Schizosaccharomyces pombe: one gene and its partner. Changing the gene in region 2 together with the main gene of any one other region gives a genetic interaction. Each region holds a gene or a part of one and is shown on either strand. Other genes may lie near its edges. The genes, in order: php5 and cgs1.

What was found.
Region 1: of cgs1 (region 2) and php5, changing one suppresses a phenotype caused by changing the other (phenotypic suppression), as found in Schizosaccharomyces pombe (one study listed by BioGRID).

Annotation. Positions count from the first base shown.
Region 1 is NC_003423.3:3,393,271-3,398,527, forward strand, and holds php5 (CCAAT-binding factor complex histone fold subunit Php5), read right to left. Parts: upstream 3,237-5,257; 5' UTR 2,431-3,236; coding exon 2,086-2,430; exon of another isoform or gene 2,041-2,085; coding exon 2,011-2,040; exon of another isoform or gene 1,953-2,010; coding exon 1,080-1,952; 3' UTR 634-1,079; downstream 1-633. Other genes in the region: mitochondrial [2Fe-2S] cluster assembly NADPH-ferredoxin reductase Arh1, read left to right, coding at 4,358-4,564, 4,647-5,257. UniProt on the Schizosaccharomyces pombe protein: Component of the CCAAT-bound heteromer, php5 is essential for DNA-binding activity. It is essential for transcription activation of cyc1. It is the linchpin that binds to the subunit association domains (SAD) of php2 and php3 to bring these proteins together.
Region 2 is NC_003424.3:3,641,247-3,646,450, reverse strand, and holds cgs1 (cAMP-dependent protein kinase regulatory subunit Cgs1), read right to left. Parts: upstream 3,423-5,204; 5' UTR 3,213-3,422; coding exon 3,083-3,212; exon of another isoform or gene 2,818-3,082; coding exon 1,709-2,817; 3' UTR 815-1,708; downstream 1-814. Other genes in the region: SPOM_SPAC8C9.04 (uncharacterized protein), read right to left, coding at 1-176; SPOM_SPAC1142.09 (uncharacterized protein), read right to left, coding at 3,606-3,953; DNA-binding forkhead transcription factor for ribosomal proteins Fhl1, read right to left, coding at 4,232-5,204.

The DNA of each region.
Region 1 (5,257 bases), on a different chromosome or scaffold from region 2:
TTTATCCACAGATTTATTTCTGATGGCCGAAATCGTCGTCTAAATTGATGAAAACTGATTATCTCGAATCGGTTAAAAAAGCAGTCACATGGACCATTTTTTGAATTAATATTTAATCGTTACGTTTCCTCTCAATGTTATGTTTGGCTTACTAGGGGAATTCGTTATTATCGACAAGTTTAGTCGATAATTTGTTAGCAGCGATGTCGCAACTGATAGTTTTAGCAACTTTTTTTACGTAGTTTTTTTCTGCAGAACAGAAGTTGCTTAAAAGCTAGTAGATGCCATTCGTTGTTGTTTGGGGGTAGATTAAAGAATTCTAAGCTTTAGTATAAGAATAATTTGTTTCTCCTCTTTCTGCCTATCTGTTGTTCATAATCAACTGCGTAGTTCTGGTGAAGGAGTAAATTAAACTGCCTCGCACCGCCGTACTCATTTTTACCTCGAGTATGGTGGCCGTGGAATGGTGGTTTTTTATGCAGTCGGGAATGAAAGCAGCTGTAATTTCCTTGCATAATGAGCCTAAATACCTTTTTACATAGAAGTTAAAATTTATGAGATTTTAAATTAAAAAATCATCAAAAGTGCAAATTTTCAAGTACATATACGAATAAATTTAATTATAAAGTAAACCTAAACGTTGTTTAAAGCTAATTGCTTCTTGGTAACCGATTGCAACATGCCATCATTTATTTACATTGACAACCCGTAAATATCCATAATAGGTAGAATGTTATCGACAATGAATTTCAAATGCATATATATGTTTAAGTAAAACAAAATACTCTACACTAGCAGTCCCGCAATGGGAAAATAAAGAGGCAGCAAATATGAAAAGCTTCCGTCATTTCTTTTTCGGTCTTGCTAAAAAAATAAAACCACACATAGCTTAAAAAAAGTAACAATGACTAGACATAGCATGTCATGAAAATCAACTGTTTCTTTAAGCTTTTGTAGATAAACCGAAAATTGACAAATTGAAAGTTCCACCTAAAAATGCATCACTGTTGGATCCTCCCAAATAATTTAATAGAAATTATTTAAATTGCATGTTCTAAATCAACAGGTATTAAAAGATATTACTGGGGTTGTTGCGAATAGCGAGAAAGAGGGTTTTGTTGCTGGGAAAACTGCTGATGCATTGGGTTTCCCTGACGCCCTTGCTGAGTTTGATACATCATAGCGTTTGGCTGTGAATAAAGTCTCTGTTGCTGATCGAATTGCCGAGGAGATCCAGGTCTTCTTGACATACCATATGCAGAAGGATCAAACATTTGAGACTGTTGCATATTAGGTCGCATATTACCTTGAAATTGGGGCATTTGATATCCCATAGGGGATGACTGCAATCGGAAAGCTGAGGATCCAGATTCGAGATGCGTAGGTGGATAACGGTATAAATGCTCAGCCATGTACGGTGCTACCATGACCGGTCTTTGCATATTCATCTGGTTAACATTTCCGGAGTTATCTGACATTTGTAGTTGTGGATATTCAGAGCCCAGACGCTGCTGTTTATACATAGATTGATCAATATCTTGCATTTGCTGCATTCTGGATGGATGAGAGGAATACTGCATTGAAGGCTGACTTGACTGTTGATTTGAAAATGGAAGTTGACTACCAGTTGGCATTGGAAACCCTTGATTGGGTAAGCCAGCTTGAGTGGGGAAAGGTTGTAAACCATTCATACCACCCATAGCAGCAACTTGAGTAGCAGACATATGAGCTTGACTGGAAGATGCGCGGGAATTATTGTTATCTTTAGATATAATATCAATTAAGAAATCATACATTTCAGATTTTGATACTGCATTTGCAATATCGGATCTTTGTAGTGTCCTTCGTTGATTTTTTTTGGCATGAAGCCAAGCCCTCATAGTAAGCTCTGCAATAAATATCTCACTTCCTTTAGCGAACAGAAAAGGAGCTTCTGCCGAGATCATTTTATTCTAAAAAAATTAGTAAAAGTTAATGTCAAAAAGTATTCGAATACTCAAAGTAACGTACCTTCACATCATCGTCAGTTTTCATAACTTTCTGCATAATCAATAGTTAGTAATTAATTCAGAAAAAGTGGCATACCTTAATACGAGCTAAGGGAAGATGCAGAGTTTTTACAGCTTGATCGTCATGTTCCAATGTATCGATGGTTTTTTGCCAATATTCAGCAAGGGCTTGTGCATCACTGCCAACAAGACCTTGAGTAACATTATCAAATGGACTAGCAACCTCAATGGGTGCACTAGCGTTGTAGTGATTGACAGCAGTTGGATCAACATCGGGGACTGGTTGTTGGAAGCGAGAAACAGAATCTTGACCATAACCTATCCGTACCTGAGAATTAGGATTGCCAGAGGGATCAACATATTCTCCTAAACCTTCGGGAAAGCCTTGTTTCAAGGAATAGGAATCAGGAATAGAATTCATTTTGCAATGAATCTTAATTGAAAAACGAAAAAAAGTCTACAGAAAGGCAATTTAGTTTAAAAAGAAAACTGGAAACGTAAAGGCCTTTGCCAATTAGATAAGAGATCAATGCAATCTCACTGGTGACAGGTTTAAAAAAACGACAATGACAAAAATTGTAACTATGCCGGGATCTAACAAATACCAGTTTCCTAAAAACAAAGCTGTTAAAGAAACTGACAATAATTTAAGCTAAAGAATTTCAAATCGAAAATCTAAATATTAAGAGGCGATAAAGATGCGGATTAAAGAAAACTTCCAATACCTTGATGTACAGCTTAACAAAATCGTAACCAAGATAAGTAGAAATAAAATAGAAAGGGAGCGGAGTAGTCTCCGGTAAAATGGGGAATTAAACTTATATGAGAGGTGAGCAGGAGACGAAACAGGGAAGTAAAACAAATTGACGTCAAGTTGAAGAGTGGAACGGAAAGAAAAAAATAAAAAGTTTTACAATCGAAAGGAACACGAACGGCTAAACACGAGGCTTAGTTGCAATATCTAAAAAGATAAATACCAATCGTCTTAATTCACGAAAAACTCGTAGAATGAGTAAGACAAAGCAACAAGTGCAGTTACTAACGTATCTCTAACACATTAACTTCTTAAAACAAAGAACTTCAATAAAGAACACTAGTAAAGCACCTTAACTCGTCGAAGTGTCTTGAATTATCTATGTAGCGTATTACACCTGGCTTAATTAAGTATATAGAGTGCAAAAACACTCAATATAGCGAAAATCGGTACGATTGAATTTATTGGTGGCTGGCAGAAGATGGTTGGCTGTCACACAACTTATTGATGGAACCGGTTTATAGTACCACATACTTTGTTTCTACAATTGCTAAAACACTTTAACGACACGTAAATATTCATTATTTGATATACATAATTAATGTTTTCGCGGTAGTAGATATAATACTATAAACAATAGCATGTGCAAATATTATTCAGTAATTAAAGCAAACAGAATAGAAAATACGTATAGTAATTGACTTCAATCCAGGAATTACATTAAAATACATCCTTGTTAATTGAATCTTACGCCTTTTTAAAGTCCTCGCAAAGATAAAGCTTACCGCGTTACAATTTGTTGGTCTTACAACAGTTCTTTAAACGTGAAAGAGTAATTGACCTTTATAAATAGAATTATTTTGAATGTAATAAATTCTTATTTTTTGTTTTATCATTATAATAGTAGGAATTAGAAAACACTTTCAAGTAGCTAGGTTTAGCATCTTTATAAATAAGTATGATTGAATAAGCAGAGATTAATTATTTTTAAGAAATTTAAATATATCGTTTTCAAATTAACCATTTGAGCCACAATCATCTAACTAGTTATTTGAAATATCATAAAAAAATCATTGCAGAAATCAGTTTGAAGCTGCTTAAGTCACTCATAATAACAACATAAAACACTTATTTGAAGGTTTGCACTTTACTATATGAGATGTTTGTTGCTGGTAATATCGTAAGCAACGATCAGCAAAAGTTCTGTTGTAGCGTTTGATTCAACTTTCCTGTTTGTAATTACCTTTGATTTAATAAGAAATTTCCTTTTTCTAAATACTGACTGATCTTATCATATAAATGCTTTGCTCTCAAAAGGCTTGGCTGCTTGAACCTGACCACTCATCCAATGCTATAAAATTCACTAGTTGTATAGGTGTCACCAAACAGTTTATTGAGATTAAACATTTAAAGCTTTAAAACTAATGAATCAGTTTTATTAAGCATTGGTAGCTTTTCTTTTCGTTTTGAGGAGAGTCCAGTTGTTAATGATAATTGCTGCTAGTTTTATATCAGATTTACAATCACGAAGATATCCTTCACTTCTTCATTTCAATCATTTTTTGTTTTTCTTTCATCTTAAGGCTAAGAAAGGATGCTATCACGATTCATTAAAAGAACATATAGCACTCAAACTTCTTCACCTGTAGTCGGCATCATCGGTTCTGGGCCGGCTGCTTTTTACACAGCCCACAGACTCTTACGAAATGACCCAAATGTCAAAATAGATATGTTTGAATCCCGCCCAGTTCCATTTGGGCTTGTACGTTATGGAGTTGCCCCAGATCATCCAGAAGTTAAGGTAAGTCTGTTAAGCCAAGAAATATTGATTGGTTTAAAAATGGATCTTATTAAATTTATTATACAGCTAACCTCTATTGTAGCATGTAGAACACAAGTTTTCCGAAATTGCTGAGTCTACACAATTTCGCTTCCTTGGTAACGTAAACGTTGGGACTGATGTTTCTTTACGGGATTTGACTAAAAATTATGATTGTTTGGTCCTTGCCTATGGAGCTGCTGGGGACAAGAGACTGGGAATTCCAGGGGAGGACTTGTCAGGTGTTTATAGTGCGCGAGAAGTGGTGGGTTGGTATAACAGTGATCCCAGAAATCAAAATCTTGAGTTGGATTTAAGTCAGGTAGAGGATGCAGTAGTTATTGGACATGGTAATGTTTCACTTGATGTAGCTCGAATCCTTTTAAGTAATCCTGCTCAATTATCCCCAACTGACATTAATCCATTGTTCCTCAAATCACTTGAAAGAAGCAATTTAAAAAGATTACACATTGTAGGAAGAAGAAACATATTTTCTGTCTCGTTTACTATCAAAGAATTGAGAGAACTGTTTGCCCTATCAAGTGCAGTTTTCTTTGCTCCTTCCTTTAATTATTCTACAAAGTGGATGAATGAAACAGATGCAAGCGGTTTGGATAGACCTAGAAAGAGATTGTTAAAGCTATTAGTTTCCGAAATCCAGAAAGCTGTTTCAGA
Region 2 (5,204 bases):
TTTTTGGCGCGTTTAGCGGCCTTCTTCTTGTTATCCTTGGTGACGGACGCCTGGGAAGAATTGTTATTCTGCTCGACCGCGTTGGTACTTTTCGAATCCAGCTTCTCCTGGACTCTCGACGTTACTTGGTGAATTTCATTTTTCGTCTGTTTAACAATATCGGGATTCGTGGTCATATTCAACTCAATTTTTGTTCTACTTTTACACGCTCTGCGTTCTTGTTTGGTGGTTGGTAGAAGTTGTAAATCTTGGCGTAACTAGAATTTATACGAAACCCTGTTATGTGAGTGAAAAAATGCATATGTAAACAAAGTTAATTCAGACGAAAGTAAGACACAAAACAAAACATTTCTTTACCAAAACATTGCTTCGCTGATCATCTTCTTAATATTACAATTTATCTCGAGTGCTTAACTTTATTCTGCAGTAATTGTCATTTCTACCCGTTGTGCTTGTTGTGAATAACCTACCCTACTAAGAACATTCACAGTAAATATGTAGTATGGAATATGGGGAAAAAAATTTTTCTTGTTTAAGAAAACCTTACGCATAGTTCGCAACTGTAGTCGTTTTTTTATTTATTATGTTCGCAAGAACATTGAATGTACGAAATTGAGTATTCTTTAAAATTTTTTGTATCCCATTTCGTACGGATTTGATAATTGAATAAAAGTCCTTTCGCTTTTTGCTGAATTTATTTGTCTAACAAGATATTCGTTTTATAAGTTTTTTACACAATTTGCATTCTCCTAGTTACACGTATCGTTTATCGCAGACTGTAGTTTCATCTAATTTGCACCCCTTTACTCAAAACTTGGTAAAAATTTTGTGTATTGTATTAAAAAACTATTCTCAATTCTTGATATTAGTCAATTTCTCATAAAATTTTTAAAGTTATGTCACGTAACTACAAAAACCGAGAACTCACTCAGTTTGCATACAAAACATCCACACTCTTGAATTTTTAACACTTCATCCCTTTCCCCACGTCTAGCGTCTGCCTAAAGCTTTCTAAGTATTTCATGCTTGCAAGTGTTTACGGACCACGGTAATTCTTGTATAATGTGCGTTACTCCAATGCCAAGTACATTATTGAATGCAGCTGCTGTTTTGAAGAGTGTGTGATTATTCAAAAAACAAATATAAGAACTCTCCATATAGATAGAAATATTTGACGATATCAAATATCGATTAAAAAACAAAAAAAAACAGGATGAAGAGAACGATAAAATAACTGTCATGATCCGTACGAAAAAAAAAACACAAACTAAACGGTAAGCTTCCAAACATCAAATGCTGCGATATTCGACAGATAAAAATAATAAAAAAAAAAGGAAATTTCAAAAAGAAAAAAAAAAACAAAATAAGAACAGTGAAGTGGTAATCACGAATATAATTGGAATTAAAACATTAACAAACCATATCCAGTGCCATGCTAGAACAAGACATAAAGGTTTTCAAAGAAATAAAAAAGAATAATACGTATATATACATTATCACATATAATGCTGAATTAGATAAGTAATCCAAACAAAACATGTTCAACATGAATAAGTAAATTATTCCAGGGATAATGGTAAACAATCACATGCATGCATGACCAATATGAAAAAGTTAGAAGGCAAACAAACAACAGGGAAATTCTTTAGCATATCATGACAGGTCATTATTACAAAGATAGTTTCAAAGAAAACAGATTATAGAAATTTTATGCTTTAGTTGATGGAGGTGACCTATGAAGAGATTGGTCACCATACTCATTATCCATTCCCATCCTGGCACGAGGTTGATTACGCATCAAATCGATCGCGTTACCAAGTAGTCTATTAAATGTAGGTTTATCAAATGTAGCAAGTTTCAGGCGAGTTTTTGCCTGTACCGTCGCATTTCTCACTGTTTCGTGAATTAAAGCTAGTTCACCAAAGTAATCTCCCTTGGTTAGGGTAACGACTACGCCTTTGCCATTCTTCACTACTTCAGCCTCGCCATCCTCTATCAGATAAAACTGGTTACCAATGTCGCCTTGTCGAATAACGATGCTACCGGCTTGATACACGACTGTCTGAAGAGCATCGGCAATTTTTTGTCGTTGATATTTGTCAAGGCTTGAGAGAATGGGAACTTCTTCAAGGAGGCTTTCATACAGCATCCTCTGGCGATATGCGTTTTCAAATACGATACGACGGAAACTTGTACGATCTAATGCGTAAATTACATTATTTGGTGTTTTGGAGACCACCGATGCAGCTCGTGGAGCATTATACATGAGTGCCAACTCTCCAAAATATTCACCGGGAGAAATCGTAGTTATGTAGTTACCATAACCACTCGAAAGCACTTCTTCAGGGGTAATATTTAGTTCGGGCCTTTTGTATACATCGAATTCACCTTGCTCCACAATATAAAAGTAATCTCCAACTGCTCCTTGGACAATGACAGCAACACCAGCCTCTCCAATCCGTTTTTCAGTCATAGCGTTCAGAACCTCGTTGTAATGTTCTTCATCCAAATTCTTAAACAAAAAGTTCCCAGCAACTGAGCGCTTTAGTCTTTTCAAATCTTCAGGATCCTTCGGAGGAAAGGTTCGTTTGGTCTCTAGTGCAAATGCACTAGGATTCATCGACTCAGTGGAAACAGATTGGCGACGCAACAGATTGTAGTTTTGCGGATATGAAACGTTCATTTCTTTTAATCCTCCCAATTCAGGAACGTATTTGGCATCCGGACCAATTGCCTCGGGGCCAGCAACCATATCGTTGAGCTCAGACAGGAAATCGCTTTCATCTCCGTCGCTAAAAGACTCTGTAATGGTGTCGCCTAAAAGAGAAATTTGTTAACATGATAAAACAAAAAAGGGTAAAATTTGTGTAGTATAGAGTGGGAGATTAAATGGGTACAGGGTCCTTAAACAACTTTGTGGAATTATTAACAGCCAGGAATCATAATTGCTGTTTGCTGACTAAATTTAGAAAATACTTACTATAGAGCAAAACAAAGTAAAAAACCACAAAAAAGAACCCATATTGACCATCATTTACTTTTCCTCTCCACTAAACATAGCTATCCAGAAGCATCTACTTACCTCGACGAAATACTGAGCGCTCAGCTTTCAGCTTTTCTCCAAAAAAGTCATAGCAAAATTGAAGTACATCTGAAGGATTTTGCTCATCAACAAGGGCTTTTAGCTCCTCATATACTTCTTCGAAAGACATGTCTCCTAAAGTTTACGTGCCTTTCTTTCAAAAAATGCGGTTTTTTGTTTCTTACTCTCAGTGAATCACAATCTCGCGGTTTTTGTTCGCTTCAGCTTTTCCTGACACTTTAATCAACCACAAGAGGTAAATTTTCCAAAATAAAAGAGCTGAATTCAGCTATACAAATCAGTTATTTACCTTCGTTTGTTACGGTTGAGATGTATGTTTAAAGTCTACCTGAGGCGTTGGACTAAAATGGATGGATGCCTGCATTAGCTCACTCATACGTCATAAAATGTACTACGCAATGCCCTGACTCCATAATATGGGGTTTATCGAAGCGCATAAAAAAATAGAGAGTAGAATGTTTGACGATGCAACATAGCTTGCGTTTTCCAGTGTTTCGGTATATTATTTTGTGAAGCTTCTTGTACATCCGTGAGTTAAGTTAGTTAAGAAATGAATAGTGAGCGGTCTATGGAAAAGTGATATGATAAATATACATCTATAGTAAGAAATTAGAATCGCTGAATATGAGTTGTTTGTTTTCAAAACAAATTCAATGTAACTTTTGAAGTCTATCAGATCAGAGAGCTTGCCCGACAGGATTACAACAATAATAGTTTTGGTCTTATTAAAAGTGCTATAAAAACAATCATTGAAGTAAATATGCTTTCTGTATTGGCTAAACAAAGGTTTCAATGAAAACGTAAATAAGGAATCGCTAATGTTCACAGATAACAAAAGCGAATCCTCCATACCCTTCCTGCTTTGCTATTAACTTTTTCGACAAGAAAACGAAAATGCTTATTAAATGAAATAAAACCAGACGGCAATTTATTATGTAAAGTATTAACTAAGGTAAACATTAAACACATGAGAAATAAAAGTAGAAACCACCCAAAGACCAAGTTGTGCAATCACTGTCAAAAAAAGAAAAATGAAACAGCTTATGCATGCTGGTAAGTGTAATTTTCGGCACTAATGTATTAATTAAGAAGTCATCAACAACGTTACGTGCATGAGCATTAGTAAATTCAGGTATAAGAGGATGATGTCTCGTCCAACGGTCGCTTTACTCCTCGTAAAGCGTCGCTTGAGTTTGATGGTAAATTCATGCCCCTTACTGAAGATGAGTCGTCAACATTGTTTCCGTTCTTTGCATTAGTATCAAAAGATCCATTTTCGTTTTCCATTATATCTCTTTTACTAAAGCTTGATGCATTTCCAATGGAATTCATCCTTTGTCCTTGATTGCCTGTTTCAACTCTCTCTAAAGTATCATTAGGCGAAGAGTATAAAGGCCGATCAGAAGTGAATGGTTTGTTTATTGGTATGGTGTGTAGATTTTGATGGCTTGTTATCTCTGATTTGCTTTCAGAAGCAGTGGAGTTGTACGACGATGATCGAACTGACGATGGCCCCGCGGACACATTAGCCATTGCTCCTGGGGGTAACGGGTCTCCAATACTCTGGCGTGTATCTGGTAACTTCGAAGGAGCAGATGGCCTAACATATGGAGGTGGTCCAACGTTTACTGCAGGACGTTGAGTGACTGAGATACTAGGAGACGGTGATGTTATGTTAGGGTGCGGCATTGCAGTCGGCGCCGGATTAAGTTGCTGTGAAGTATAAGCTTTACGACGCTTTGCCTGTTGTTGCACTTGTTGGGGCCCTTGCATTTGCGTTTGCTGCTTTTGAAGTTTTTGGGCTAAAGCCACAGCGAGAGCATTCGCAATCGCTGTGGCTTGCTCCGGGTTGTTGGCAGCGGCAGGTCCTAGCTGCTTATTAATGTGCTGTTGGAGTAGTGAAATTGCTTGAACGGCTTGCTCGTTGGGAGCCTGTTGCTCTCCATTTGCATTCTTGAAAAACTCGGGGTTCAAAGCAAGTTTCCCATCGCGCATAATGATAGGTTGAATGCCATTTTGAAGTAAGGATTGTGGTCGATCCTCTACATTTTCTCCTCGGGAAGTATGAGTTTTACTACGACTAGTTTCTTTTTGCGGATTA